Linked DNA regions of Schizosaccharomyces pombe. The protein of the gene in region 4 interacts with the protein of the main gene of each other region in a pairwise test. Each region holds a gene or a part of one and is shown on either strand. Other genes may lie near its edges. The genes, in order: sec24, dpe2, sly1 and toe1.

What was found.
Region 1: the proteins of toe1 (region 4) and sec24 interact in a two-hybrid assay, tested with the Schizosaccharomyces pombe proteins (one large-scale study listed by BioGRID).
Region 2: the proteins of toe1 (region 4) and dpe2 interact in a two-hybrid assay, tested with the Schizosaccharomyces pombe proteins (one large-scale study listed by BioGRID).
Region 3: the proteins of toe1 (region 4) and sly1 interact in a two-hybrid assay, tested with the Schizosaccharomyces pombe proteins (one large-scale study listed by BioGRID).

What each region holds. Positions count from the first base shown.
Region 1 is NC_003424.3:4,795,772-4,804,759, reverse strand, and holds sec24 (coincidence detector Sec24/Sfb2 subunit), read right to left. Parts: upstream 5,166-8,988; 5' UTR 5,006-5,165; coding exon 2,225-5,005; 3' UTR 2,108-2,224; downstream 1-2,107. Other genes in the region: putative U2 snRNP-associated protein Sap145, read left to right, coding at 1-130; rRNA processing protein Rrp16, read right to left, coding at 267-1,389, 1,445-1,581; RNA polymerase I termination factor Rtf1, read left to right, coding at 5,832-6,270, 6,318-6,484, 6,530-6,617, 6,657-6,768, 6,807-7,139, 7,185-7,336, 7,384-7,493; 20S proteasome complex subunit beta 6 Pam1, read right to left, coding at 8,604-8,988. UniProt on the Schizosaccharomyces pombe protein: Component of the coat protein complex II (COPII) which promotes the formation of transport vesicles from the endoplasmic reticulum (ER).
Region 2 is NC_003421.2:2,304,694-2,311,873, forward strand, and holds dpe2 (dipeptidyl peptidase), read left to right. Parts: upstream 1-1,526; 5' UTR 1,527-1,598; coding exon 1,599-2,849; 3' UTR 2,850-3,164; downstream 3,165-7,180. Other genes in the region: agp3 (amino acid transporter), read right to left, coding at 1-1,057.
Region 3 is NC_003421.2:1,920,134-1,928,081, reverse strand, and holds sly1 (SNARE-binding protein Sly1), read right to left. Parts: upstream 4,923-7,948; 5' UTR 4,886-4,922; coding exon 4,834-4,885; intron 4,771-4,833; coding exon 4,502-4,770; intron 4,401-4,501; coding exon 3,313-4,400; exon of another isoform or gene 3,271-3,312; coding exon 3,162-3,270; exon of another isoform or gene 3,109-3,161; coding exon 2,707-3,108; 3' UTR 2,609-2,706; downstream 1-2,608. Other genes in the region: ppn1 (cleavage and polyadenylation specificity factor complex-associated protein), read left to right, coding at 1-43, 202-282, 403-613, 665-2,336; mug24 (rrm type RNA-binding protein), read right to left, coding at 6,836-7,948.
Region 4 is NC_003424.3:1,834,369-1,842,138, reverse strand, and holds toe1 (protein toe1), read right to left. Parts: upstream 3,664-7,770; 5' UTR 3,553-3,663; coding exon 3,287-3,552; exon of another isoform or gene 3,170-3,286; coding exon 1,846-3,169; downstream 1-1,845. Other genes in the region: fur4 (plasma membrane uracil transmembrane transporter), read left to right, coding at 1-203; uck2 (uracil phosphoribosyltransferase), read right to left, coding at 856-1,518; urg1 (GTP cyclohydrolase II), read right to left, coding at 5,351-6,670.

The DNA.
Region 1 (8,988 bases), 3.0 Mb from region 4:
AGATGTTGCGTTAAATCAAAGTTCTAATTGGCAAGATGAGCTTTCGGAGTTGGTGTCTGAGCAGGCTATGAAGGTTGGTGCTGCGAAACGACAGAAAACACAAAGCAAGAGAGACAAGTTTCGTCTTTAAATTATTATCTACAGTGTACATTAGTTAATCTATATGACAGTATTATTGTTAAGCTCCATACATTATTCAAGTATTAATTATTATTTGTAAGTGAAAATAAAAAAAACCCCAATTTATACCCTAGCTAAAATATATTTTATATACTGTTTTTTTGAAGATGGAAGTCTTTGTGACTATATTTTTCCTTGATCTTTGCACGATACTTTGATTTCTTCAATACTGGCAAAGATGGAGGAACCATTGCTCTTTGTTGTAAACTTAAATAGCGATCGGCAAACAAATTTCCTTCAGGCTTCAGCTCTCTAAGGGAACTAGTCAGCTCATCTCCCAACTTTATTTCAAGTGGGTTGTTAGGCAATCGATGTTTACCGAATTTTTTCTTCTTCAGTTTGATTTCAGTTGTGCTAGAAGAAACAGCCTTATTAGAGAATTTCTCAGCTTTATCCTTTTGCTGCAGTTTTTTGGATATTGCAGGAGCTTTGTCGATCGTCCTCAGAAGCTCTTCATTTTTCTTTTGCTCAAGTAATCTAAGCTCCTCCTCTCTTCTTTGGCGTATCTTATTTCTTTGAGACCTGGTTTTTCGTTTGTTCTTCGAAGAAGGGATCGGAGTTTCTGCTTGTTCGTGTTCAGACTGGTCATCAGAATCAATGCTGTGATTAACGTCTTGGTCTGAAACTAATCCCTTGTCTTCAAAAGCTTTCTTCTGTATTCTTTCCTTTTCCTCTAATTCACTAATTCTTTTCTGTTCTTTCTTAAGTTCCTCTGAACCTTTGGTATCAAGTAGCTTCATCCAAGCTGCAGCGTCAGGATTGTATGACATTCCTGGATCAGCGATAACAACATTTGGGACTTTTGCATTATTCTCAGTTAAAGATTCGGGTAGTTTAGATAATGTAGAAGGTCTTTTAACAGGTATAGTAACTGTTGGGTTTGTTTCCCAAACATCATAACTTTCCTTTGGTTGTTTGGTATTTTTGAGCTCACTAGCAGCAGAAGTTGCGGTTAAACCATCTTTATTTTTATACACCAAAGCTTGTAGTCTATTTAGTTCTTTTCTAGAAAAAATTTTTCCTTTCTTATTGCTTTCAGTTGAATTATTCGTTAAATGAGAATGAACTTTTTCTATGGAAGACTTATTTTCAAGAATTTGATCAACCTTTAATGGTTTAATTTTTTTTCTGCTTCTTTTTGCAATTCTATCATCACCAAGAGTGTCAATTACAAATAAAGCATCATTCGGCTTGTGCTCGACATTTCCACTGTTTTAAGTTAATAAAAATATTTTTAATTAATACAATGCAAAAACTAATATACCCTTTTATTTCCTCATCTCTAGTCTGCTCTAGACCAGACTCGATATCCTCCAAATCAATATTTTTCCTCCATGCTCGTTTGTTTTTACGAGATGATTGTTTATATTGAGAAGGTGCATTCCTCTCTTTGATTCCCATCTTTTTAAAATAATAGGATTTCGACTCTCTAATCTAATTACTACAATTAGGAGTGCTTGGCAGAAGGCAAAATTCTACCACTTGCCAAGCACCTAGTACCGCAGTGCAAAATTACATTCTTAAATTAGTTTTTCAATATAAGTGAATACTCGCCTGGATATATAATCTAATTGCAATGAAAATGAAATTTAATAAATATTTAATATTTTTTTTATGCTTTAAATAGAAGATGTGAAGCTCTAAAGTGCGAAATTGAAAATCTATACACTGCAACTCAATTGTAATGAATTAAATTAAATTATTAGAACCTTTTGTTATTCTTGGAACAACTTCAACATCAAGTAATATGAAAATAGACAAGGTATAAAAGCTAAAATTTATGTACAAGCTGGCTGGAAGCTACATGTACGCAAATACCTAATTTAGTTTGATACATATATAGCTTTCATCAATATAAAAAGCACCAAGTATATTTACTAGATCAATTATTTAAATTTTTTTTTTCTTAAAAATACAAAAAACCAAAGAATGTTTAACCATATTGAATATTATTAATTAATCATGTCACTAATTCAGGCATATATTACCATCAGAACAATCAATTTAAAAAAGTTTTGTAGAAAGTAGCCAGATTTTACAGCCTTTAGTCACGAACTTTCTCTTTAAGAGTCTGCAAAAACTGTAAATAGCTGGGAGAGTTCTCACTACGATCCTCGACGAAGTGAGAGAAAAACCATGAGCGCAATTGTGGATCACCATCACCACGTACAAGGTAAAGACTAGGCATAATAGTTGAACCTTTATCCAACGAACGAAGTTTACCGAGAATCGCATTGATACGAACGTTAAGTGGGTTGTCTATAACTGGCATTGTAAAACGTCCAGCTTTCAAATCCGCAAGAGAGTTTACACCAAATGCGTCTATCAGTAGCTGCGGAACTGCATCTTTACCAATATACAAAAATTGATGAATGTGTGTATCAACCAAATATAAACCAAAAGATTGCAACAAAGCTGAAGTAAGATTTAACGCAGAAGGGAGAACTACACCCTGTTCTGTAACAGTTCCTGCTTCAATAGGCATATCGTGCAAAGAATAAAGAGTTGGATAAATGTAACGCATTAGTAAAGGAGTTGGCAGAGTACTTAAATAACATAGAGCAATAGAACGAAGGTCAGATGAGATATGACTAGATCTTCTGAATCCAGTATGCTTCGTCAATGCTAAACAAAGCAATGGTAATAGTCTTAAATTGGTGCTTATTTGAAGCGGGATCGCAGCACCGGTGTTTTGTCCAGCCAAATTTTTTTTGTAAACTTCCAAAATTTCTACAAGCTTACTTATAATGCTATCACGGGCTTCGTTCAACGTAGAAGAAAGAGCCTTTTCACTAGCCCGGACAGTAAGATATTGTGCAATGGCAACTTGATCGGCTGATGCATATAAATCAGTCATACTATTGGTAGTAGGAAGAGAAATAGTCAGTACACGAATCCGTCTTTCACCGTTACAAGTAGTATGGAGCATAGCTGTTTGGAAAGAAACAAAGGGCTTGGTGATAGTGTCCTCAATAACAACCTCTACTACATAACTCTGATCGCGAGGAAAAGAAGGAAACGCACATAGATCACTTGAACGATTAAAAAAGTTTCCGTAGAAAGAAGACATACGGAGACCGTTAGATCCACGAACACGCATCACCGCCTCTAGCTCAATCTCCATACTGAGATAGTTAGTAAGTTCAGAAGCAAATTTAAGAGCGTCCTCGCTACGGGAAGCATTCCACCTGTGATAGAATTGGGTTTTACCAGAGGTGTATCTAGGAAGGCAACTTAAGGTTGCTACATCTTGATACTGAGAAGAAAAAAGAAACATATCAACAGAGACTTGAGACGTGGAGCATTCCACCGCGAAGGATTTATAGAAGGAGTCATTGGGATGAAGAAGGCTAGATTCACGATTTGTTCCCAAAAGTTTAGGATCTTCACGTAACTCCAATTTACCAACACCAACATTAGGAAGACTCGAAATGAGACAGCAAATTTTACCGCCAATATTTTCAATGAGACGATGGGCAGCCTTAAGACCTGGTCCAAGGGCATTACTAGAATCACGGGTAGTTGCAAACATTGATTGAAATCGCTCGAGTAAGTTTTCAATGCCTTGTCTACATTCGCGTAAATTAAGTAACAAATCTTGATTCCTGGGTAAAAACGGTTCCTCTAAATCAGAAACAACTAGTTGGGTGGCTTCTTCAGCACCAGGGGAAACTGAAAAAAAATGCAGGGCACTGTCTACACCAATAAAAGCCACCTTTGCACGTCCTTCTTTATTGGGGATGCGATCCAATGATTCCAGAATTGCACGACTTGCAGTACCAACCATACCAGAAGATATGGATACAAACGAAATATCAATTAAAAATACGTAAACCAAAGGTTGTGGAGCACGAACCATATATTCTTGAGGAGCAATAAAATCAACAACTGCATAATTGAGCTCAGGACGTTGCCAGCGATCACGTTGGACATTTCTGAAACTGTCCCAGTCATATGACTGGGGTACTTCATTAACAATACCACAAGAATTACAGCGATAGCGATGGCCATTGTCAATAAAGATACTAAAAGGATTGATATACATACGACACCTGCGGCATCGTGATATAATAGTATCAGTAACAACTGGAACTGGATCATCTTCTTCGACCAAGCTAGTATATGGACGGATGACTAATGCAAATGGAATTTTTGACTTTTTTAACAAGCTATTTGTTGTCGGTACACAGTTTATCGTGGATCGAACATATTTGGGAGGGCAATTGGAAGTAGCTGCTCCAGTAGCGGAATAGCTTAAGGGTAAATTAATAGGAGGAGGAGGAGAGGTTAAGTCAGAAATTTCTGGTGTTTGATTGTACAAATCAACAGAAACTAACTCATTGGTAGGCATAGCTGCTGCACCATCTGCTCCAAGTGACATTCCGCCAAATTGTGCAGAGAGAGATTTAGTTCCCACCTCTGCGCGATCATGAGGATATGGTGAAGAGGATGGAGTTCGTGCCATAACGTAAGAGGGCTCTGAAAGAGAAGGGGGAGCCGGTGACGCTGCTAAGGTATTTGTAAGTTCAAACACCTCAGCAGGATACTGTCTACGAGACTTATGAGAGGTATGAGAAACGGGTGGTTGTTGATCGACAGATCCTATTATGTTGGTAGGAGCAGCACCCATAGCTCCAACAGCGTATTCACCATTGCTTACAATGCCTTCAGCTGTACCCTCAGCAACTGCCCCGACATAAGGAGCGGTATTATCTAGCTGGCCAGCAACTGGATAAACTGGCTGAAATCCTTGAGGAGGTATATTCGAATTTCCACTACTAGCTCCATAACTACCCTTTCCGTAGAAAGCGTCCTCCTGACTCATTGCTTTAGTGTATTTTTTTTTACTTACAGTGGTATATTGCTAGCAAAAAAAAGAAAAGAAACACTGAATTATTTAATAACTTTTTTGAAGATCCCTCTATTTTTCCTTCCTTTTCACAAAAAGACGTTTTTAACAGTGTTCCCTGGAGTAGGTAAATGGCAGCTACATTCGCTGGTTCAACTAACGTAGATGGAAAGTTAAGGTAATCACTGGAAAGTTAACGAGCTTTACAGTTTCGTTATTAAATACTATGTATCGTAGTAATTATATCGGTGACACACGTTATTACCCTAATAATTTTAACATAGGCAGGAACTTTGTACCTAATTGATAAAAAATAGTGATTATTAGTAAACAAAAGCCAATAGAGATATTTTATCGTTTTAATTTATTCTTTTTTTTTTTTAAGTTTGATATGAGGCAGATACCTGTAAACGTTTTCAACTAAAAAAACTCTTCTAAACCACTCATACTTAATTTTCTATTTTAAAAATTTTACATGTATATATCATAAACAAGAGAGTCACATCTTAAGAAATTTTGAAATTTTTTTAAAAATGCTCTCAAAAACCATCACTGCATGTATCGTACACTATTTAGCTACACCAACGCTCTATAATGTTACCCAATTTTAACAGGCTCACTAGTTAATTAGAATTCAGAATTGCAAAGTATCAAAAGTTCAATTATAGATTGAATAATTGAAGTTGCCTGCGCTATTTGGTTTTGTCTTACATGAACTATTACACCCCGGGTCCCTTGCTATACTGATTACCTTTTGTCAATGTTTTTTTCTTAATATTTCTTCAGACAAGTGAACATTATTATGCAAGGAAAAAACAATTTAAGTTGCAGACCGGATACAGAGGACAATGAAGAGCTCTTTGTCGATGATCAACTCTTATCACCCATTGGTGACTCGAAAAATACAAGTTCTTTCATTTACTTGGGAAACCCCATAAGCTTTCATGAATACAATTATGATGAGACTATGGTATCACCTGAAAATGTGAAAACAGCAATTGCTGGAAGTGCGAAAGACCATGAAACATGTCGAGGCTTCAAAAAAACAGGCACTACTTCATATAAAGACTTTGTATTCAGTAGAGATTACACCAACTGGACACCCACTTTTTGGGTTCTGTTAAGTCAACTAATTGATGAATTTTTGAAAGAAAGCGAATTAAACTTTGTGGCTGCGAGAGATCTTCTTATTAAAACCAAAAGACTTCCAAAACCTTTCAATAATTTACTCATTCAATTTCGTATGACACCTGAGTGCTTTCAAAAAAATCCGCTAATTCAAGTCTAGAAATTCAAGTGCCCAATGTTTCACGAAGGACTGTGTATAGGCATCTTAAGGGATATTTTAACATTCCAGGTTATGAAAGGTTTCAATACGTTAAAAAAGCGTCGTCTGGATCATGGGGAGCAAACGACATTATCACTTTGGAAAAAGAAATTGCTATGTTTAAAAAGGTATGGTCTTTAGCTTGCTGTTTTATTATAAATATTAAAAAACAGAAAAAAAATTGGTCTGATGAACAATTTCTTCAATATGTTTGGTCTGATAACCATCGTGATGAAATGAAAACATTATATAATTGTTTGTGTAAGTCAATTACTATCACTTGTTACTAATTAATAATAGATGAGCTTATCGATAGGGATAAAAAGAGTATTTACAATTATCTCCGCAGAAAATATAATCCATTTAAGAAAAAATGTAAATGGACTATAGAAGATGAGGCAGAATTGAAAAAGTATGTAGTTTACTTTCCAAATTGCAACTAACTAATAGACTTGTTGAAAAACATGGAACATCCTGGAGCTTAATTGGCAAATTGTCGAATAGACTACCAATGCATTGCAGAGATCATTGGCGCGACTACATTCAACCTGGTGAAATCAATCGTTCACCATGGACTATCCAGGAGAAAGAAAAATTAATCAAAACGGTTAATCAATACTTGCAAAGCAATCCTTCATCCCCTATTCAATGGAGTCTAATTTCTAAAAACATGAGAAATCGACACCGTCATCATTGTAGGTGGAAGTATTACACACTAATTTCCAGAGATATACATAATAGTTCCCCTTTCAAACTTGGCGATAGTATATGGTTAATTGAAAGGTACTCCAATTATAAAATTTTAAATAAGAAGCTAATTAAATTCAGAATGATGGACCTTAATGTTGCAGAGGAACGGATGATTGATTGGAAATGCTTATCAGAATATGCTAATCACCTATGGACAGCAGATGCTTGTAAATCGCATTTCGAAAGAATAAAAAAAACCTTGTTTATCGATGGACTTTCTACGTTTTCTGGTAAATTTTTGAATATAATAATTATTGTTAATATGTTAACGCTTTAGATACTTTAATTCATTTGCACAAAATGCTAAATTCTTCTCCTGAAGAAACTTACATTTCGAACTTACATGATTCTTACACCGCTTTTTCTAACGCCGATGATTTATGCTAGCTACATGAACAAATTTATTTTAACTACTTCCTCAAAGTCATAGATTTAAATTTTTTGTGTATTCATTGAGAGAATGTTCTCATCTTACTTATATTAGTAAATTCACTTTTATATTTTTTCTAGTATACATTTGTGTATGTAACCTGTTTGCCGTGTAGTCAATAAATAAAACAAATGTGGATAAAAAGGAAAAATAGTTTCTAACATTGGAGATGCCGGGAATCGAACCCGGGACCTTTTCAAGGTGCGAACTATGCGAATGAAACGTTATACCCCTAAACTACATCCCCAGTCGATATGATGTTATAATTTAACCCATTATTAATAAAAGGTTAAAAAAAAGAACGAATGTCAAGCTATAAAATAAAATAATCATCATCATCATTGATTAATTTAGCAAGGGTGCCTGCATCTAGTTTTTTTATCAGTCAATAACTCATACATTAACCGCATTCATAAGAGGCTATTTTGACAGGTCATTTCTGAATTTTTTGAATTAAATTAATAGTACACAGAGAGACATAAATGAAAACTAAGTAAGTTTCATTAATAATACATGAATACAGAAGTGATGCCCACAAAATAACAAATCAGATAATTCTATTTACTTACCCATCATAAATTTTTATTCATTGATGCGAAAATAAAATATGGATGAAAAGAGGTTGATTGAAGAAAAGTAAAATCATTAAATAATTTTTTCTTTATGATAAATTAGCCAAGCGTCTAGTGATTTCATAGAGTCAAAGAACGGAATTTAAATTACTGATGTACTGAAATCCTGATTTTTATGTCAAATATTCTATCACTTCCTAACTAATCCTTTTCATAAATATGACTAAAAAAATTACAAGTTTAAGTTGTTTCGAACTTATCCTCTACACATTCATAAATACGCCATGAAACTATGCAATGTACATCAAAGACAAAAAAAAATGTTTAACTTGTAAAATAAATTGAGACTAGGCTTTTCAAAATAGGGATATCTCCGATAAAATCTCATACATAATCATGCAATCCGAAATTGGAATTGAGCTTGACAGGCAGGCTGCCATTCTAGGAAGCTATATCTGTGACAGTGGAACATAAAAAAGTCATATTTACAAAAATCTAATCCTTCTTCAAAGGAATAATTCTTGTCTCTACACCTTCTTTTGTGATAATCTTAACAAGAACTGAATCACCAACCTCGATGTGTCGTTCTCCAGCACTTGTAAATGCATCAGTAGTAATCTTCATAGCTTCCTCCAATTTTAAAAGTCTCCTTGGCTTTCTCTCTTTTCCATGTGAACCAGGAACGTACTGATTATGTAAGTTCACTTGATTGTCGAGGAATGGAGTAATGAAGTTTGCAGCGGATCCACCAGCACGGCACCATTCCCGCTCATAAGAGCCAACAGGATCAAAAGAATAAATCTCTCCTTTTCCCTCTTTATCGATGCCGGCAACGGTTGTATATACATAATAGGGAAAAAATCTCTTTCCGTACAAAAGT
Region 2 (7,180 bases), on a different chromosome or scaffold from region 4:
TTGGAGCCATGCCATCCTTGGCTAAATTATACAAAGATCGACTTCCTATATATATACCACTGTTGATGGAAGAAAGGCAAGTAATTAAAATGACTGCATTGACAAAATCACCTGCGTGATTCCAACCGGCATTCATTATAGCAATTGTCATTGGAGACTTGAGAGTTTTGGAGCCTGACGAAAGATTTGGGTCATTCCATGCTACGGTGATACCGTAAGAGATTGAGATACCAAAATAGACATACAAGATTCTCCAGAACGTTTGTCTCACAGCAAGCGGGATAGCTTTTTTTGGATTTTTGCTTTCAGCTGCAGTCATAGATACAGATTCTACACCACTAAAAAAGACACCGGCATATACAAATGCTGAAACTATACCCCCAAATCCGTGTGCCAATGGCATTTCTTTAAACAAGTTGGGCGGCTTATGATGAGGAATTCCTCCAGCTGCGTAAATTATTGCAAATATGTAGAATCCAGTAATAAATAGAAGTTTAATGAAAGCCAAAATGTATTCAGATTCTCCAAACACTGACACACCTAGCATTTGGTAACACGTAAAAAAACCCCAAAAAATTAGAAAAAAGCCATAAGATGGCACATGGGGGCCCCAATATTGAAGAATAGATGTTAAAGATGTATATTCTGCTGCGATGTTGGTAAGCCATACGATAACATAGTTCCATCCGATAGCGGCTCCAAATGCTGGGTCAACCCATCGAGCAGCATGAGTATTGAAGTTGAAATCAAATAGCGAATTAAACTCGCCGATACTCAGCATAACCCCAAAAACAACAATACTAACGATGGCAAAGCCGACAATTAGACCCACCGGACCACCAATATGCAGGGCACTGCCCATACCAATGAAGACACCTGGACCGATGATACCAGCAAGGGCCATCATCGATACATGACGAGTCTTCAATCCACGTTTGATTCCATTTGAATTATTTTCCGCTGCGTCAACTGTTACAACTTCGGAAACTCCAATGTCGAGGTTTTCTGAGGAGGATAGCTTCTTGGCAGGAACTTTCTCAGAAGGCGCTGCCTCCATTTTCTTAATTAACTTAATTCACTTTATTCTTAATATTAGAAATTACAATTGGTATTGTGATCTATATATGTACAACAGAATTGATAAATGTAATCAATTCTAATAATGTTAGCTGCAGAATCAACATGAATTCTACCGCTAATTGCTCAAAAAAAGTTGTTTTAAGCGTCAAATCGTTTAATCGTATCTTTGACGCTGTGCTAATCAACTGCAATTCATTGGAATTTAAAGTGTTATTCAAGGTAAGCAGATTATCAGTGAGATTTTTAAAATCGCCAAATTTCGCTAAATTACTTAGCCTACAATGATGATAAAGATAAGCTTCTATATAAGTATTAAAAGGTGACAGATTTCAACGTTTTGGCGATGCGTTTATTTGAAGGTGATAAAATCGTCTTTATAAGATGAGATTTAGCGACTTGTTTAGGCGGCCCATATATACATGTCGGCAGGAAGACACGGTTTTGATATACCCATATCTATATATATTCAGATAAATTCCATGGTGATCGTCGCAGTAAGAAGCTGATAATAGTTGAAAATGACGGTTGATCTTAGGGAAGAGAAAGAGCTCGCACAGCAAAGATTTAAAGAAATTTGCAAGCATGCGAAAATTGTTGATACACACAATGACTTCCCTTACCTGCTGAGAGTTCAATTACGAAATAAGCTGCAGCTGGCGGAGTTTGATTTTGAGAACGGTTTAACTAGTCACACGGATCTTGTAAAAATGAGACAAGGTCAAGTCGGAGTTCAATTTTTTAGCTGCTTCATTGAATGCAAAAATCCGAATTACCTGTACCAAGACTTTGATACACCTACTACTGTGGTGCGCGATACACTAGAACAGATTGACGTTACTCGCAGATTGGTTTGCAAATACAATAATGATTTGAAGTTTGTCGATTGTGCAGACGATGCCATAGCAGCGTTTCGAAATAATGGGAAAATTGCAATTGCTTTGGGAGTTGAAGGTTTGCACCAGGTGGATACTTCTCTGGCTGTATTAAGACAATATTACTCACTTGGTGTGAGATATATAACTTTGACTCATAATTGTGATAACCCATTTGCTACGGCAGCTAGTTCCATTACTGGGGGCCTTCCAGACAGAGGTCTTTCAGCGTATGGAATTGAGTGTATTTTTGAAATGAACCGACTCGGTATGATGGTGGATTTATCGCATGTAAGCCACCGCACTATGCATGACGCCCTCGATGTAACCAAAGCTCCCGTAATATTCTCACACTCCTCCGCATACACACTTACAGAGCACGAAAGAAACGTCCGAGACGATGTATTGGAAAGGCTGAAAACGAATGGTGGTGTCGTACAAGTCAACTTTTATCAAGATTTCATTCGTAAGCCTGGAAGCGACCGTGCAACAATCGATGATGCTGCAGATCATATCTTACATATCATAAAGGTAGCCGGTTGGGAGCATGTCGGTTTAGGATCCGATTTCGATGGAATTCCCCAAGGCCCCAAGGGATTGGAAGACGTCTCTAAATATCCCGATTTGATCTGTAAAATAATTGAAAGGACGAATGCCACAAACGAACAAATTGAAGGATTAATGGGTTTAAATGTGCTCCGGGTTTGGAAAAAGACCGAGTTAGTGGCATTGCAACTATCTAAAAAATTGGAGCCCATTGAATCAAGTTGGTCTGGAAGAAAGTGGGAGTTTTACAGCTATGCTAAAGAGTTTCCAGAGCTATTTCCAGACGCCTATAAACTGAATGAAAAGAGTACTGTTTGGAATTATGATCAGCCTTTGAACATTGAGAAATAATATCATAAGGATCGTTGACTTTTTAAGAAGGTGAAGTAACCAGCTTTCATTTCGAGGTTACAAAAAATAAGTCATCAGAGAGTTTTTAGCAGCATGTCCTTCTTTCATACCCAATAACATGTTTCATTCTACTGATTTTTAACCTATGAATTATCCCAAGGAAGATCACAAGGACCGATTGCAATTTCGGTTAAGTTCGTATCCACATTGTGTAGTTTCGACAAGTAAATATGAACTTACAAAAGTTTTTCTATTAATCAGTATAGTTATAGTAGAGATACGTTGAATAAAATTATGTGTTTTATAAATCAATGGAATAAGCAAGCAATCAGACCCACATAAAGAAGCACTTTGCTACATGAAAATCGCGCTAAGGAATCAGCAATAAGACAATTAGAGAAATATGAAATAAAGAAAAAGAAGCATGCGAGAATTTGATATGTTGATGCAATTTATCAATCTACTACTTTGTAAGCAATGAAGCAATGATTTGTTCGAAAGTCACAGAGATTCAAAGTACTGAACCATACATGATTTTGTCAATAAGCTAACAGGGCATAAGGCCCACAATCTATCTTTAAACAATAAAATTAAAAAAATAAAATAGCAATAATAAGAGAAGGAGCCTACAGCACCCCGGATTCCCATGTTGTCTCCAACCATAGTACTAACGAGGCCCTCAGACGCTTAACTGCAGTGATCGGACGGGAACTGGTGTTTTCGCCTAGGTATGGCCGTAGACAATGTTTTTCAACAATAGTAAATTATATGGTAATTTTATGAAAAATTTTATGATTAACTGTTAATGAAAAGAAAAAGTAAAATAATGAAGACGACATTTTGTCAGTGTAGACTTTTGAGCATGAAATTTGTGAATGATCAAATTCGATTAATTGATAATATTTTTTACTACGTTTTATTTTACCAAAAGTATTTGCAACATCATATCGATTATGAAAAAAATTTTTTTTTAAACAAAGTAAATTAATATATTTGTTCTATTTTCATCTGTTAAAATTTTATTTATTTTTTACAATCTATTCGCATTTTTAATTTAAATTAATTTTATTATTTTTTTTATATCATTTTATTTTATTTTACTTTACTTTTTTACGGTTTTTTTTCCTTGCATGTCTTAAAAAAACGTTTATAACGGTAAATTTGCATACATGCTCAAAAGAGAAAAAGTCGCATATGTCAATAGTCTTATCTTTATAAAGAGTCCAAATTGCATAAAGCCGGACCATATTATAAAAAACAAAGATAGCTAATTGAATCATTTGAACGAACGTATCAAACATGTTCAAAAGGACACCTTAATCACATGACTTGTGCAATAAAATATTAAAACGGATTTTAGATGCGGGATGACTAATTTGATGTGGAGAAAAAAATAAACGATAGATGGTAATTACCAAATAGTTTCTTTTGAGTTGCAGAAACATTGGCAGGTAAGCTAGCTATACCATGCAACAAGGCCTGACTTGGCTTCCCCTTGTATAACATGTTCATTTGTAGTTGCATATTTGCAGATCATTTTTATACATATTCTACTTTTTCACAGACATGGCTAAGGAAGTATGTAAGGAGGAAATGTATGCTAATTTAATTCTCAACAAATCCATCTTGTTGCATTGTCGGCAGTAGAATTTTTGTTTTTAGTTATGAATTACTTTTTGAGTAAGTACATATAAGATGATAGTTTAAGAAGGAAAGTCGATCTACACACGTTTAAAAATTGTTGAAGCGATTCGTGCATCGGTCAATTGTATACTTTAAAGCTTTTCTTTCCTTAGGTCACATCTAGAACTTATTGAACACGATTTCAAGTTGTGAAGAGGAAAACGGATGCGATCCACTTTTACCGGAGCTGGATGATTTTTCCAATCACATTGTTTACATGTCAAAAAGGGAGCACAAGAAGTCGTAAAGCAAGGATCGCATAGAAAATGTAAAGGAAATTAAAAAAAAAGATGAATGAATGAATGAATAATAAATAAATGGAACAAAAAAATGAATGAATAAATTGAATAAATAGATTAAATAACGAGAACAGAAAATAGAATCTTAAAAAAAAAAAAAAAAAGGACAAACAAGGAAACCTTAAGGGTTGCGTATGTTTGTATGTGCTTTTCAGATTCACCCTTTATTCGATTTCTCAGTATTGTTTTCTTTGCCTGGCTGGCTTACCTTTTCCCGTAGATGCCAGCCATCTTGGTAAATGTACATCCCCCACATAGACCCATGTCCCCCAGTCGACTGCAAACATGAACCACTTTGCTACTAGCTAAAAGGAACTGACTACAACTTTGAAAAAGTTCCTATGTGGGGGTGAGGGGGGAAAGAAAAATGCGGAGGAAGTGTTTCGGGAATACCGTGTTTCTGCCGAAGTCTTTGCCGGTCGTGGACCGGGTGTCCGAGGAATTCCCTCATGACAACGAAGCCGAGGGTGTCGCAAATGGGATAGCGAGAGAAAAAGAGAGAGAGCAGCTGAAAGGAAATAGCGATGAGAGACGAGGAAGAGAGAGAAGAACTGAGTAATGCGATAGAGGAGGAAAAGAGAGGTGTGTTATAGCACCACACAATTTTGAAATGTAAAATAAAATCAAAGACATGATGAATCAATCATCTTTGTGATAAATCAATTCAAACAATCAATGGTGCTTTTGTGCATAGTCAATCGTCCATTGACTATTCAACTCATTGACCTATTCAACCCATGACAAACATAGTGTCGACCTTAGCCTTTTCTCATCCCATTTTATTTTTCATCCTACATCTTTACGTCTACAATTTACGCATCCCTTCATCACCAACCCAATCCTTCCTACACCTATCTCCATCTTACAAATCTTACTCATTCATTTGATAGCTAGAGCCATCATCCTGTATATAGACTCAAAAAGAATGGAATGGGCCTTGTCTTTTCCATCTTTCTCCATGATACGAATTTACGGACTAGTGTGCTTGTCACTTTCCACTCGCTAATCTCTAGCACGTGGAATGCAACCGCACAGGGAAACGAGGATGTAAAGCACCAAGCAAAAGCAATGCAGTGGAATACGAAAACGGTGTGTGTAACGACATAAAAAAAATCTCATTCTTATCAGTAATGATTAGATAGTGTCTTGTTCTTTGTCTTTGTTTTTGCTTCTTGACTTGCCCGATATACTTGTATTAAAAATATACTCCATAGTACCGGATTTTACGCATTGCTGGGATGTAATAAATGTGTGATATTATTATTTTGTTACTGCAGTGAAATTGGGTTGGTTCGTAAATTGAGGTATAAGCTTGTTAAACAAAATGGAAGAGAGACTGATAATCGTAGTAAATGAACCAATAAATGGAAATGTATTTGACCCAGAAAATCAAATGATTTCAGCAAAGAGAGATTGGAGGCAAAAAGAAGAAAAAGAAAAAAGAAAATGGCCAACCGAGAAGAAGAAGAAAATTTTTTTAGCGGAAGAGAGAAAACATTTTGAGAAATTTAACGAGGAACGAGTAAAAGAGTAAAGAGAAAATAAATAACAAAAGAATATATAATGAAAGAATTAATAATCAAAACATTTACAATTTAACTCTAAAATTACCATTTACCTCTTTTTCTTTTTCTTCTTCTACTATACTTCTATCCACTTTACTCATCTCTTCTCTTGCCTTTTTTTTTTTTCTCTCTCTCTCTCTTTCTTTTCTCTTTTCTCCTTTCTCTTTTTGCTGCCCTACTCCCGCTGCCCTGCCGACGTCCTTTACCCTGTTTTTCCTCTTCTTCCTCTTTTCCTCGTTTTGCTCCCGGAAAAACGATAAGCTTTTCTAACGTGTTTCCTTCCCCTAACCTGCAATCTTCACATTTGCATCGGCAAGGTAGCAGGGGCGGTAGTTACGTTGGACTGGGGTGGCTAGATTCATCTTTAAAATAGTAGGGTCAGGATGATTGTACCATAGAATTGTTTTTTGTCCTCTACTCTTATCTAAGATTTGAAGGCATATCTATTGCAAAAGCAAAAGTATCTGAAACTTCGATGACTGCGTATTTTTTCATATAAAACGATATTGACCGGCATTGTTGAGTTGCGAATTGCGTTTGGAAAACCAGCGGAAAAAAAAGTAGGACATAGCAAATTGATTGCTTAGCTTTTGTAATAAGAAGGGATCAGGGCTGTTGTTGTTTTCTTGGTTTAGAAAAAAACAGAATCAAAAATAATAAAGCAAAAAAGAATATTTTGTTCTTTTTCCTCCACTCCCCATTTTATTTCACCCAACGGACTTTGTGTGAGAGCGATTATCGGTTCGTCTGTTATTCAAGACATACTTTGTATTATTTGGGTCTT
Region 3 (7,948 bases), on a different chromosome or scaffold from region 4:
TTAGAAGAAAACTTAGATGAAAAGTTAATGAGTGCTTTCCCTGGTATGCAGGCTATTAAAGCGGGGATAGAGAGTTGGTCAATAATTTGAAATATTTGCCTCTACGGGCTGTAGCGAGTGATGTCTTGATTGCTTGTTCTCTCTTTTTTCTCTGCTATTTTTGATCCTTTCTCTTAGAATTCTACTAATTGTTGCCCTTAGGCTTAGAACCTCATGTGTTTCAACACTCCCAGTCACCTCTGTCACATAAAGATGCTTCATTGTTAGCTACAATGCCTTCAGGTATATTTTCTTTTGTTTATTCATTCTTTTTATTTTTATCTCTACTATACTGAGTTTTCCTATGTTCTCAATTTTTCTTTTTCTTTTTTGATTCGTTCAATTTGCTAATATTTATCTTAGTTGCCTCATCCAATCCATCACTCATATCTTCTGGATCTTCGCAAACTGGCTCCCCATCACAATCCTTGTCCTCTAATAAGGAACCAAGTTCTCCTGGCATTTCTCCTTCCAATGACTCTCAATCACAAAATACTAATCATACCTCTATCTCAGCCAATCCATATGTTAATAATCCAAGTCATACTTCAAGGAATCCGGATTCAGGATCTTCGTAAGTTTATTTTGCCTTAAAAATTTATTTATGACTAACGAAGCGCCTTAGTTTAAATACCGCCTCCCATGAAGTACCATCATCAAAATCAGACGTGAACGTTCAAATGCTTGCACGATTAAAATCTAAATCTCGTCAAAAAATTTCTTCCTCTGATCCGTTAGAAGATTTGCGCCTTACTCTGACTGAGTGTTTAAACCCAATTAACATCGTCCAAGCTCCAAAAGAATGTGCTGCAATCCTTGTTAATCTCATGAGCAATATCACCCAAGATGATCAAAAATTAGTTTTTCTAGATCTTCTTAAAAGCAAAGTGGGGAATAGTATTTATAGCCAACTTGTTGACGGCGGTCGTAAATTGTTCCTTCCTAAACTACGTAACTGGTTTGTATCAGCTATTCGTTCTAAACACGACGAACTCATTCATTTAATACTGCTCGTGCTAGCTAATCTTCCTCTTACGACTGAGAAGCTAGCTGAGGTTAAGTTTGGCAAACCAATTTTAATCGTAAAAAAAAAGTCTACCAATTCCGTTATACGCCAGCTTGCTGAAAATCTTTCTGAACTGGCCGAGAAAAGTTTTACTATTGAACAAAATAGAGAAAATGAGAAGAGCTCTACGAAGAACGATTCGACTGTTTCATCTTCCGCAGTCGTTATGGCCCCGGCTGGTCCGGCGATGGCCCCGTCTGCGTCTAATAAACCAAGCGCTTCCTCAACTACTAAATCAAGCAATTCGAAATCTAAAAAAAAGGTAACCAGCATATCGGGAACATCCTTCTTTAAAAATTTAGCAAGCTCTACAAAACCAACTTCGGCCTCCTCTTCAACAAAAGCGCCTTTGACAAAACAGCAAACCAACCCTTCTACTCCTCTTTCCTCTATCATGGCTGGCTTGAAAGGACGGGAGAAGGAAAAGGACAAGGATTCTGGAATAAGTTCAGAAAATGTTAGTAATAATCGTGAGGAATTGCCCAGCTTCAGGAAGCGTTCCTCTTCGTCGAGGCAAAGTGAGGAGATTGCATCTTTACAAGCTGAGAATGCAGTGTTCAGTAGTGATCCTGCTTCTAATGATGAGAAAACAGGAAACAAAAAGAGAAAGAAGAAGTCCGTTTCATGGAAGCCCGATAACGATCTTGTTCAAGTCAAATTTATTGAATCTCTTAATGAGGAAGGTGCCGCGTCAGTCAAAACACCACACATCTATGGAAATGCTAGGGATATGGACAGACAGGAAGCTCGTGTAGCGTTTGGTAGCCACGTTGAAGACGATGTAGAAAACGAAATTATTTGGTACAAACCAGTTCCTATAAAATTTGAAATTTCTAAAGATGAAATCCATCCTCGTGGATACAAATGTGGAGGGAATGAACGGAATTTGACCCCGGAAGCCACTAGCGAAATAGAACGTGAGAAGAATGAAAGTAAGGATATCTCCACTTTTAACATTATTTTGGATTTGCCTGTTATTCGAGAATTCGATGATTCTCGTCCTCCTGCTCACATCAAGCTAGTCTCGTCTGACACTCAAGCAACAACTGAATTGGGATTTAATGGTTTAGTGCAGCAAGTTTCTGAAAATAACACGAATGCATACTCAGCTACTTCGAATTCGCAATTAAGTTCAATTTTTTCTAATTTGTCATCTTCTATATCAGATGCTTCATCAAACGTTTTACAAAATCCATCTCTTTCGATACCAAATTACTCGAATGCTATATAAACTGAAGATTTTCACAACTTACATATTTTAAGCCATGTCTAACTTAAGTTATAACTGAGAATCTTATGAATTATATGTTTTTGAAATTTTTTTTTGTTAATTTTTTTTTTTTTTTTTTTGTTTGAGTTTTAGAACAGCAATTACATTTTCTTTTTTCTGTTCCCTCAGCTCTTGGTCTGAAAGTATATGTCGTTTACAAATAACCGCGATTTGCGTATAATGAACATTGATGCTTTCCAAATTTTCAATACGATGATGGACTACACAAATTCGACAAAAAAGTCATGTATCAAATTAAGAGTAAATCATTTATTTCATACAATATTGGCTGAACAAACATGATGGCCAAAAAATAAAACTAAATAATTTTTTAAGATAGAGAAGCCATTTCTTCCATAAATTCAGATGGCGATAATATGTCGGTACTACCGTATATGATACGCTTCTTAGGATTTTGTTCACGCGCCCAATCAGCCAGATTACCATATTCTAAATAATTACCACCTCCTAGTACGCAAACAATTGCTTCACTAAAAGTCTGTCTTTTGTTCATGGCCCTAGGATCATTGTTTACAGTAATAGCACGAGCTGATTTGGGATCTAATAATAGATAAGACTCTGTTTGTTTGGAGGCAGGAGAAGAGCCAGGGTCCATTAGACTCTGAACAATAGATGTAATAGTCCCATCCTTCCTGAAGGGAATCAGATTTCTAACCCCCGAAATAATATTTTCAAGGCCACCAATACCGGCTTCTTTAAAGCGGTCGGTAAACTAAAAACAATTAATATGTGCTTTAAGGTGAAAAAGTGTCAAACTATTCTTACCCTTGTGGAAAGACTGCTAAATCCACGAAATAAATTATCTCCTGTTTGACCCGTAGCTGGTCTTGTGGTAGAAGATGCTAACATGGTCATTTTAGTTATTTCACGAACCCTAATATAAGTTAGAAAAAACCAATAACATCAATCAGTATACCTCTTAACAAAATTTAATGCTTCTAATGTACAGCCATTGTTAACCAACGCCTCTTCATATGCCTGCAAATCAGAAGCCGGTACGGAATCAACACTTAAATACCAAATTATAAAAAATCGTAGCTTGTCTTCGGGAGTTCCTTGTTCCTTGTTATTGATGCAAGCGAGAATGGCACTTCTGTTTAGTCCAGTTATATTATCTTCTAACTGAAAAAAGTCATCTAAATGGCGCTCTTGAATAGCTTTTAATAATGCAGTTGCTATATTCATATGCATGTCAAGGATTTGTTTACGAGCTGTAAGCTCTGGGAGCAAGCTAACTGCACTTTTTAAATAAGTCGAATCAGCAAATGCGTCAACATTAACTTCTTCAAGTGAAGAAACACCGGATTTTCGGGTAATTTCACTAGCATCATTTTTATATCGAGTCAACTCTTCATCAATGTTTTCGGCAACTTTAGGAAATGGTTTGCTAGCATTACTTTCCCAGAAAAAATCATTTCCATCTAAATCGTAAAACCGCTTTGTCATTTTTCCATCATCGACTGACTCTACGGTAATCCTATTGAGTTGCATATTTAGGGTATCATGAATCAAAGCTTGGTAAGTCCAAGAATGATTTATCATTGGAATCAAATCGACCGTTCTATCCAGTAAAATAAGAATTGGCCTTGGTTTTGGATTAACAGAAACAAAAGCATCCTTGGTATTCATTAAATGGTCCTTTAGACGTTGATTCAACTTTTGGGCAACCATCTCAGCAGCCGATCCTTGTGGGCAACGAATGATAGGAATGGTTCCGAGTGTAACGATCACTGAAAAGAGACCATTTACAATATCCTGAACGCGTGAATTAATGAGAGCCTCATCTGAAGACGGGTTATGGAACGTATGAAAGATTTTGGGCAGTTGAAGAGAAAAAAAATCACTTTCTAACACAACATAATTAAGATACTGGTCATACACTTGATGAATCATGTGACTTGTATTTGTTTTCGACGCCAATTCGGCAAACTGTTCCAGAAGAGCACGAGAAATGGTAGATGAAAAACAGACATAGGCTGATTCGTAAAGACCCTTCGAAAGATCCTTTAAAATATGTTAGCTTGCTGAACTGTAATACAAAAAAGTATTTGGTATCCGACAATAAGATTAATTGATTGAAAATTATGATACTGAGAAATCCATACCTCTATTATTAGCTCAATGTTTTCTTGAGTAGGTTGAACAAAGTAAATAGCTGGGACATCAGCAATAGGCTGACGAAACGAAGTGATATTCATGTGAACCGTAACGCCATGTTTTCTGAGATCACTAATTCTGAGAACAGAAGAAATAGTCTCCGACCCTGCCTTATCGAAGATTAAAACTTTCCAAATGGGAAAATTAGAGGCATGTTGAGGGCTTGATTCAAGTTCGTTGACGTCTTGGTTCAAATTAAGCAGTTTTTCTAAAGATTCTAAAGGTTCATATTAGCAATGCTTACTGAGAATTATACAGTTTTATTAGCAACACTACTTACGAATTTGAGCTTCTCTCAAAGAAGACGGTGTTTTTACAGATGCAATAGACATCGTGCCAATTCCAACTTTGGCACTAATATAAGCACTTAGAAGGATGATTTGTGTTGAGGGATAAACATAAGAATCATACCCTTCATATGGTGGTGTATGGCAGTGAAGCGAGTCTCGCTAAATGTTCAAAAAGGTAAACAACAAAATAAATATTGAGGTTTGGCTGTTTTACCAAATCTTGTAGTCTTCAATCTTTACTAAAGATTTCTGATTTTCATTAAATTTTTAGATATTTAAAAAAACAGTACTAGTGCACCGGAAACATTCAAAGCGTAGGAAGGAAATCAATCTTGCGTTCAGTAGTTTACTTTTCTAAGATTTAATCTCAGCTTTCTAACTGTGCTTACATTACATATATTTCTAAGAGGTGTTCTTACTTTACTATTTACTTATAAAGATACAATTATTAAAAGAGTATCCAAACGCAAAAAGCTCTTAATTATGAATTTAGCCATTAATGATTTGCATATTCTAAGTGTCTAGGATCATATACGATGGCTAAAGTTGCTCATGGGATCAAATAAGTAGAAGGCATGTCTTCGTTTATTTTTTTAGACTGAATTAAACAAAATATGAAATTATTCATTGATCATTATGATGATAATGATACCGTAGACCTAATCATCGTAATAGTAATTAATTAACAGCAATGATGGATGGAAAATATAATTAAACAATGTATTGATGGAAGGAATTGGGCAAAGTAAACCGAAAATATGACAAAGAAGGTGTCGGACTCGAATAATGATAATGATAAAACAAAAATCTCAAAAAAAACGGAATAAGGACAAGGATAGTGATGACAAAATGAAATGACAGAACGATTATGATAACAAAAAACGGTAGTAAGCAAAGTGTTGGGAGTAACGTCAATAATTGAGCTTTGAAAGAAAAGAAAATGGTGAGTACGTTAATCCTAGAATAGTAAAAGCAAGAATAAGCGATAAATATGGAAGCTCAAGAAAAAAATAAAATTAGTGTGATCAAGCTGAATGCTATCAAGAAAGCAAATGGTAAACGAACTGGTGATGGGGTCGATGGAATGATAGAATGAAGATAGTCAATTAATTGGTTGTGAACAAAGGATAATAGTGATCATGACGAGGAACAATAACAATGATTCTGGAAAGCTGAGCTGTAATCAAACGGGAGAAATAGTAAAGAATTCGTCAGTGGATAGTACAATGATAATGTGTATAAGTGAGAATAGTTGGTTTAATGATAGCAAGCTGGAAAAATGCAAAATTGGCTGGTGGGTTAGCTTAAAACCGGCATCAACGGAAACAGTAGCAAATGGGAAAATATTGTGGTAATAGTAAAAAATGGATAATGGTAAATGAACAAACTACCCATGAAGTAACGGATCGAGAAGGGTTCATGAATTCATCAGCAAGAAGTAAGTAATCTTTAATAGGTAAGAAAAGTAAAAGTTCACAGACCGGCTTCTCTTAGTGATAGAAGAATGGTTTGAAAAACTAATTGACACATTGAATGAATAAAACTCTGCTCAGAAGGTTGAAGGTAATTTTTCTTTAAAGACAAAAAATTACATAATTTAAAAGAAGACATTGGAAATCACGGAAGAGTAGTAATGTGACAAAGCAAAAAAATTTCAAATTTGGGTGGGAAACAATCAAAACGTGTAAAAACGATAAATCAAAAACTTTCAGTAATAAGGTTTAATTAGAGTCAAGAATAAAAAGAGTTTTTTTTCTGAATTTTTTCTTTTTCAATTTTTTTTGGAATTTTAGATTTTTTTAAGGCAATGTTTAGTTAGGTTTGGACAATTTTCAAGTTTTTTTCAGAGGAGTTAGTGTTAAGTTTTTGGGAGTCTCTGTTACAAACTAAATTTGCATGCTGAGTGAATACCCGTAGAATTGAGAATAAGCAAAAATAAATGGAAACATACTGACTTGCTGATGAACAAAAGTTACTTCGCGAGTATTGGAACTAGTCGTTTTCGTGGTCGGATGTTTGAGGATAGTTCGGAACATTGCAGTTGAAAGGAAAAGAGGGAACGGCTGTAAAGGGGATAAAGGGCTGATACTGGATACCAAAATTTAATATTGGATCCGAACCTGGAGGAATTGCTGGACAATAAGCTACAGGATATGAAAACGGTGGAGTAATAAATTGCTGCAATGGAACATTCTGTTGGATAGGAGAGTTGGATTTAGACTTTTGAAGCTCTTGTTCGCATCTATCAGGAGCATAGCGGATTTTGCTCTTCTTGAACAAAGGATGTATAGGCAAGCCATTGACAGCCTTCATGGCATTAGATATATTTGTATAGGCAACGAATCCAGAACTTCTATTTTTTAAATATTTAATTGATTCAATCTCTCCATACTGACGCAGTATGAGCTCTAACTCTTCGGTAGTAAGTGAATCTGATATATGGCTGAAGTAAACATTTCTGGAAGCGCCCATCAATATAGAATCTTCTAAAACTCTGGGCAAAGGTCCACTTTCTTTACCCCATCCTACTTTAATTCTTCGACCGTGTAATAAAACTTCTTCCTCAGCCAAGTAGTCGTGGAAAGCGTTGGCGGCCGAATACGTTATAAATGTAACGAAGCATATATGTTTTTCAGGAATATAGTGGAAGTCTTGTAACCCTCCATGTCGGATTAGATCGCATATTTCATGTCCTTTAGTCTTAGTATGGAGATTGCCAAGGAAGACAGTACGGTTTCCATTGTCTTTTGATTCCTGCTGCCTGCAACGGTCAGACGTGGTATCCGGATTTTGCTTGGAAGTGAAACATGACCTTTCATCAAATGAAGGTGGATGATTTGCACAGCGATCTGAGCCAAAAAATATTCGCCATGAGTGATAGTCAGGATCGCAAGATAAGGTACGAACAACCTTGATTGCGTCGCGGATGTTCAAAAAGTGAACAAAAGCAATATTCTTTTTCGAGAGGATTTTTATGTGCTCAATCTTGCCGAATTTACCAAACGCTTCTTCAATTTCCTTCTCGTGATAAGAAGAAGGAAGATTGCCGATGAACACATTACGGCTGGCCGCAGTGTTCGAGCAAAAATTTTGAATCGATTCAGG
Region 4 (7,770 bases):
CTGTTACCGAATGCGGTGAGAAAATGCTTTCTGAGGTTCCCGAAGAAGCTGATGACTATTTGCTTACCCTTGCCTCAGAAGACTCCATCGACAAGGACAGTACATCTGAAATTTATATTGATGGACTTCCCACTGAGAAGGAGGTTGAGAAGGACGACGTTCTCAGTATTACGAGCAAAAAATTATCGGGTTGTTTTCCTTAGGTAAATTACTTTTTGTGGTTTGATCTCGTCTTAATAGTAATTTTTCAAGGTTTATTGAAGGTTCTTTATTAAATTATTTTTTGTTTTTAGTTTGTCATAAAAATTTTTTAGATCATCTTTGTTTATAATGTATTGCTAGTTAATGAATGAAGTGTATTAATAGGTTATGCATATTTGTTGCGTTTAGACAGTAAGCGTATTCATATTACACTAAATAAAGCTGTTTATCTACTAAAGGGATGACTTCAAAAGTAAGTAAGCGACATATCTTTATTATGGTAATAGTTACAGAAGTAACATAGGATGTTCTATAAAAATCAAACATCAAATGGAAATAACACGCCTTATTGAACACAGAATGTTGGAAAACAGAGATTAAAGATTACTGAAATAACTCGTGAAAAAATGGATGTAAAATTATGTTTATTAATTAAAGGTTTGTCGAATGTCACGGTATGGACTTGAGTATAATAAATTAAATAAATCGCGAGGATATGCAGTGTACAGGGCTTTGATGAAATAGATGTTACAATTGATTATATCTAAGGTTAATATATCGAAATGAACGAGAACGAATAAAAATTAGGGTAATTAAAATACAATGAATGGATCAGAAAGAGATATACACTGATGAGATGAAAGATCAACGATTCTAGCAAGTGCCAAAGTAGCGGTCACCGAAATCACCGCATCCAGGAACAACGTATTTATTAGCATTCAATTCGGGATCAATAGACGCTGTAACCATTCTAAGCTTGGGAAACTTAGCAAAGACATTAGTAATCCCCTCATTGCATGCAATGAGATTAACAAACACAATGTTTTCTTCTGGGATCCCCTTGTTGATCAGAGTTTGAATGGCGAGAATTACAGAATTTCCCGTAGCCAATAAGGGATCTAGCAACAAAACCAAACGATCCTGTGCATCCTTGGGTAACTTGCAGAACATCAATTTAGCTTCAAACGTAGTTTCATCTCTTTGCACCAATAACTTGCCGACGGGAACTGAGTAGTTGCAAGCAGCGGCCAATCCATATTCCATACTCTCTCCAGCTCTTAAAATGCTGACGCCGCATATATCTCTAGCTGGTTGGACGCCAGTATAGGTGCCGCCGGAACTAGTCTTTATTAAGCATTTCTTATAAGGTAAAGCACTCAATGCTTCTTGCATTAGCATGTTGATAATGAGATTGGCTGTGCGCACAAACTCTGAATGGCCGGTTTGCTGATCGCGAAGAATAGTCATCAATGATAACAAGTACATGGTCTGACGGAGAACCACGACATTCTCGGGCTGTTCAAGAGGAATGGACATATTGGATGGAAATTTTAATTTAACAAAACGATTCAATTCAAAAAAAAACTGAAATTCGATAAGAAAAGGTTGATGTAACAAAAGGAATTTTTTACAAAATTCGTAAGATAGAGGTAAGTTCGTAAACAGTCAAATGTGGAAACTTTTTTCTCTATTCAGGGCCAAGAATTCTTCCTTTATATCTTTTAGATCGCCAGTTTTTAGTTTTTTTCAGACACTTTACAGCCGATTTTCAACCGCGGAATTTCCGACCGTCTTTGATTAAGCTATTGCGGAACAACCGCGCTATCGCACCGAGGCACAAACGCGGGCTCTATGGGGCAAAGATTAGCCACGTTCCACAGTAGCGACTCCAAGGTTGTACGGTTTAAGAGCTTGTAACGTAGTGCTTGAAACAGGTCGCAGTGGTCCTTTAAACCAGGTGCTTTCAGCAGTGCCTTCATTAACGGTTTTTTGATATTCCTTCAGGTAATTAGCAAACTTTGTAGCCAAATGATATTGGTCGACACTGATAACAAGCAACCATTTCCATATTTTAGTTACAAGGTCATTCAAAACTTTAGGCTGGACGATAGAAGTGTCTACCTCCTTTGTTTTTGCAGCGTAAATCAATCGCAGTAAACTTGCAGATGCAAAACCCGCGTGAAACAAGACATGATCGGAGCAACGAGACATATCGTAAGCTGACAATTCAAAAATTGCATCAATTGTTTTTAGCGCATAACTTTGCACCATGCTAACATACCGCGGTATGTTCGCAAAGTCATTACCATCCGTAGCTGTTTGGATGCTGGCCTCGTAAACGACATTGTAGGAATAAAAATAGGCAATCCGAGAATATTGCGGCTCGGGTTGTTCCCAAAGATGACACCATTCCTTGCGCCATTCTTCAAGCTGAAATATTGCATAATCCAAATCGAGGGTAGGGGATCGCAGCATTCTGTATAGCATGGAGTATACAGAGAGCATTCCCAAAATGTTTCCGTCAAATTCATTAGCCTTAGTATTTGTTAATATATTACGACAATCATCAAAAGTATTTTCATCCAACATAGCATGACGACGATATCCCATGCACATAACCAAATGACCATGGCAGAGGTGATTCCACGTTCTTGCGGGAACGATATCGAGATAAGTTAGTGTAGCGCTAGATCCCGCAAAACCGTTGAACCATCCCTTGGTGCTCGAAAGCGTTCTGTGTTGCAAAGCAAACCCGCTGAGGAGCCAGAGATCTTGTTTTTGGGAAAGCCGAAGCGGTCGATAAAGGGTTAGCATAGATACAGCCTCGAAAAACTGTAGGGAAGGTGAAGTAGTGAGCAATTCCTCTGAGATAAGGCGGTCCACGATGTTTAGTACGTCCGTGTAAATCCTAGCTTTCAGAGAGGGATTGTGTCTTAAAGCAATGAGACAAGCGGTTGCAAGCATCAAATGTGATTTTGTGTATAGTAGTTCCATGTACTGGGAAGCACTGTAGTCGACAGAGAGCCAGCGCTTACCATAGCGCTCTATAAAAATTTCCAAGAGCAATTCGATTTCATCCATGGAGAGTAAACCCTGGAGGAAAACGTCTTTTTCGGATTTGAGGGAAATCTGGCCTGCAATAGGAGAATTTGTGATAGAACTGATGGCCTTCTCCAATACCTTGAGTCTATAATAAGCAGTTTAGTAAATTTGTTAGTTTGAAAGATGGTATTACAACAACAAGACTACAGTAAGAGGAATGGGTTTTTAAAAAGTCTTAAGAATAAAACAAATATATTCATACCTGTTTTCTAGTTTTGAGTTGATATTCGCGCTAATAGCATCCATATTGTCATTTTCCACTTTTCGTATAAAGTGATTTGGATCAGCCAAGCTACAATCCATGTTCAAAGAGCGGCATCTTAAGCACGCGCGGTTTTCATCCTCAACAGAACCTGCCAGGCATCTCGTTTTTTGCTTACGGCAAGAGTCGCACGCTTCAAGAGCACGTTTCCTTTTAAATGTTAATAGAGACGAGGATGACTGACGCGTCCGTTCCACTTCGCCCATTCTTTCCTACTTGAAATTTCTCCACCATGTAGGTAATAGAAGGAATTTATATCAGACAACGACTCTCGCTCAATAAATATATAGGTTTCCTTAACAATGGTTATCTATTCTGGTCTCCGGGCAAAAGCACCTTGGAGCAACTATTAGCGTAATTACGGTTAAAATCAGTAGAGCTCGCTAGAGAAACCTGGTAGTATCAATAAATTTGTGGGTTGGACTCATACCTCCGTAATATTGATAAGGTGCTTACTCGGATTTTCGTCTGCCGAAAGAAGTCTATCTGATACTGTTGGCGTAAGAACAGGGACGGGTTTACGACACGGACAGTTAAAAAAAAGAGATTCGGAGCGATGCGAAATTTTGCGATGGTAAACAAAGCGATAGCGGTTGTTGAATCCTTTATTATTGATGAGTCATTTGTTGAAAAGTAATCGATGCTATACTCGCTGATACATATTGAAGGGTAAGTGATGACTAAAACGAATATGTTGGAAAAAAATGCAATACAGCAAGTTTATGTTTGCATACTCGTTTGAAACGGAACGGGCGAACAATGCTTTCTGAGTTGGCTTGTTTTATGTCAGGAGGTGTAGTTGAGTAAGTAATTGTAGTGTTTCAGTGTATCCCCTCAAAACACCTGGCAAAAAAAAAAAAAAAAAAAAAAAAAAAACATATCGGTGATCACCACTTACATCAGTATCCAACACTGCCGACAGATATTTGCAATAAAAGAATTTGTGAGTTTCAGCAATGTTGAATTAATTTAAGAACAAGATTACATAAAGCTTTTCTCACTAATTTTTATTAATCGTTAAAATTGTAAAGCTTTTGCATTTGCTGGTCATTGAACACACCATCACTCTTGTATCGCCAAGCTAACTTTTTCGCAAAAGAATCTTAATATTAAAAAAGAGATTTTTAAACTTAGTATAAAGTAGGGATAACTCATCATCAAAGACATATATACGTAGTACTACGAATACATCTAAGTCATTCATTCACAAACGTGTAGAGAAATGAGTAACATAAACAATACATGCTAATCAAGGGACGAAAAAGTTATGGAAATTGTACAATTTTAAATTAAAATTTGTTCATTGTTAATGTATCTGCGTACATCCCTCTCAACATTATACGATTTTCTTTCCAGGTACTTTTTGATTTATAGGGATAAAACGATCATATACAATTCTATCCATGCGTGATTACACAAGGATCAAGAGTTAATGCGAGTTAAATACGATTAAGCTCCGATCGACATTAAGCGAGAAGAAGGCCCCGCTGGTTGAGTCTGTGGGGAAGCAATTAAAGAAAGCGGGATATGATGTATGGTAGTAGCGCGAATGTATGTGAAAGCAAATGTAAAAGATTATCAAAAATCTTTAGAAACTAAAATGCTATAAATATTACTATATCAAACAAACAACGGAATTTGGGATTTTCGTTTTTTTTACATACTAGCTGTTTTCGTTCTTATCCAATTCTACAACATGTACAAAAAATTTACTACTTCTACAAATCCCAAATGTTGACATGATTAAAAAATGTATTAAAGAAAACAAAAAGTTAACTAAACTTTCAAACTTATAAATAAAAAGCATAGTAACTGGACAATGATTCCATCCAGAAAAACATCTGACAAAAGCTCTATAAAAGACGGTGACTAGAGAAATTTTTTATCTGACCGAAGAATTGGAGAAAGTTTCGAGAATTTATACAATGAAGGTAATTAAACACATGTATGTGAAATTTAAAATAAACATGGTCCTTCTGTGACGTCTAAAACAGATGGGCAAGCTTACCAATGACGACCGTGAACACAAGAAAGATCATCCTCAGTGACCTTCTTCTCAGAGAAGTAACCGGATTGAATCTTAGCATCGATTTCGACTTGAGAATCTTCAGGAATAAGATCATCGGGAATAGTGATACGGTTCAAAATCTTGATACCTTGGCCAACAATGGCATCATGCTTCATGTTAGACATACTGAGCATGCGGTCAATCTTCTTAATGCCAAACCAGTGGAGAATATCAGGCATAAGAGCTTGGAAACGCATATCACGAACACCGGCCAACTCTTCAGTACGCTTGAAGTAGTTCTCGGCAGAGTCACCAGTACGCTTACGCTTGTTGTAAACAAGGTATTTGACAACTTCACCAAGGGCACGACCCTCCTTTCTGAAGTAAACAACCAAACCAGCACCACCATTTTGGGCTTCCTTGGCAGCTTCCTCAATACCAAAAGTCAAATAAGGTCTGCATGTGCAAATATCACTTTGGAAGACATCAGAACCGTTGCACTCGTCATGAACACGGACAGCCAAGCTCTTGGAAGTATCGCTAAGGTATTCAGGAGGACCAAAGATGTAAGCAGTCAAACCACCGATGGGAGGAAGGAATACTTTGATGTCAGGACGGGTGATAAGTTCGGGATAAGCACCACCCATTTGCTCAAACAAAGCACGACGAAGAGTAACTTCATCGACACCGAAACGTTCAGCAACACCAGGAAGATACCATACAGGCTCAACAGCAACCTTAGTAACGGCAATGTCACCCTTTTCGTTGAGAACAATCTTACCATCGATGGGCAAAGAGCCATTTTCAACAGAACGTTGAATCTCAGTGACTTGGAGATGAGCACGGGTAATGGCAATGGTGGGACGAACGTCGTAACCCTCATCCAAGTACTTCTTGAAGACGCTAGGGGTAAGATGGCCATAGGGATCCATGGCGACGATCTTCTTGGGATCATGCCAGCTGTCCAATTCAGGGAAGTCAAAAGTGGGCTCAGTGAGCTCAAAGTTGGGACGATGATCAGGGGGCAAGAAACCACCGGCAACAGCTAAAGCATTGTAAACGGAGTAGCTACCGCCATGAGCACCGACGGCGTTGCGATGAGGAAGAGTCTCAATGGAGCGAGCGACAGTAATAGGTCCACGTTCCTCAGCAGTGGCAGCGCCCCAGTTCATGGGGAAAGGATCAATTCTAGATTGAGAGGGATAGGTGGTCAAGACGACAGGACGAGAGTAAAGAGGCTTCTTAACCTCTTCGGTCTTCTCGTGAGCATGAGCGCCATTGCACTCTGCAGGACGGCTTTGTTCAGTGGCAAGCATATTGAATTAGTTCTAATTTAGTAATTGAAGAAAACGGATAAGTAAAACAACAAGAAAAATGACAAACGAATGTTCAATGGGTAGAAAGAAATTCGTTTCACAAAATTAGCCTTTAAACAAAGTGAATTGAGTAAGGCAGCTAAAGTAATGAATGAAACCTTTGCAATTGATGTTGAACCGTATGGATTTCCTCCCTTATTTATAGCCTTCCAGATACTATCAATGAAAGCGCTAGCTCGCATGATACCAGATACCACGCGGACTTGCCGCGGGCACTTCCTCGTCAGCGAACCGAAAACAATACCTTGTTTACATCGTTGCGCCTTCTTAGACCTTACGAAGTCGCGGGGAAGGGTCGTGCACGCATGTTCTCGAGCGGCGCTACCGCGGGCAATAGCCGACGCAAGTCATTGTTTAGAAGAAAAAAAATTTTTTTGTAATGTAAACAATTGGAATTGGTTGATGTCAGTAAGCAAATATTCCCATTTACAGGAAAAGAATAGAACATCATTCTTACAAGTATTCAAAGAACGATCGAAAAGATGGTTTCTATTTCCACGGCTTTGTATTTATACAATTCGTAATAGTCAGTAGTGAAGGCGTTTGCCACACATTCTAGTTCGAAATTCTTTTTTACGTAGGATATAAAAATAATAATCCGTGTCACGCTAATCGAATTAAGGTTGACTTCCATATAGGCTCACTGGAATTGTGTAACGAATTTAAGGTTAACCAGGCCTGCAATCACCAGTTTGCGTAGACATTGCATAGACGGAATCAATGTATACAAGCTGAACTAATTAGTATTTCATTTTCAGTATGTTATTAATGTAGAGAATAAAAAAATTCTTCTTTTTTTTTTCATTGACAACCCTGAAATGTTCTTGACTTTACGCTGAGTGCAGTAAATTGGTTATTGCAATACATTCTTTTTATGTAGTACTGAAAGATTCTAGTAACGAGGTATACAGTCGTTCAAATCTTACTTGCTGCTAGAACAGATTTTTCAATTGTTCTCTATTAGATATAGACAAAACATTTAAAAAAATAAATATGATAAATAAATACAAATTTAACAATACAGAGTAAAAATATGGAAT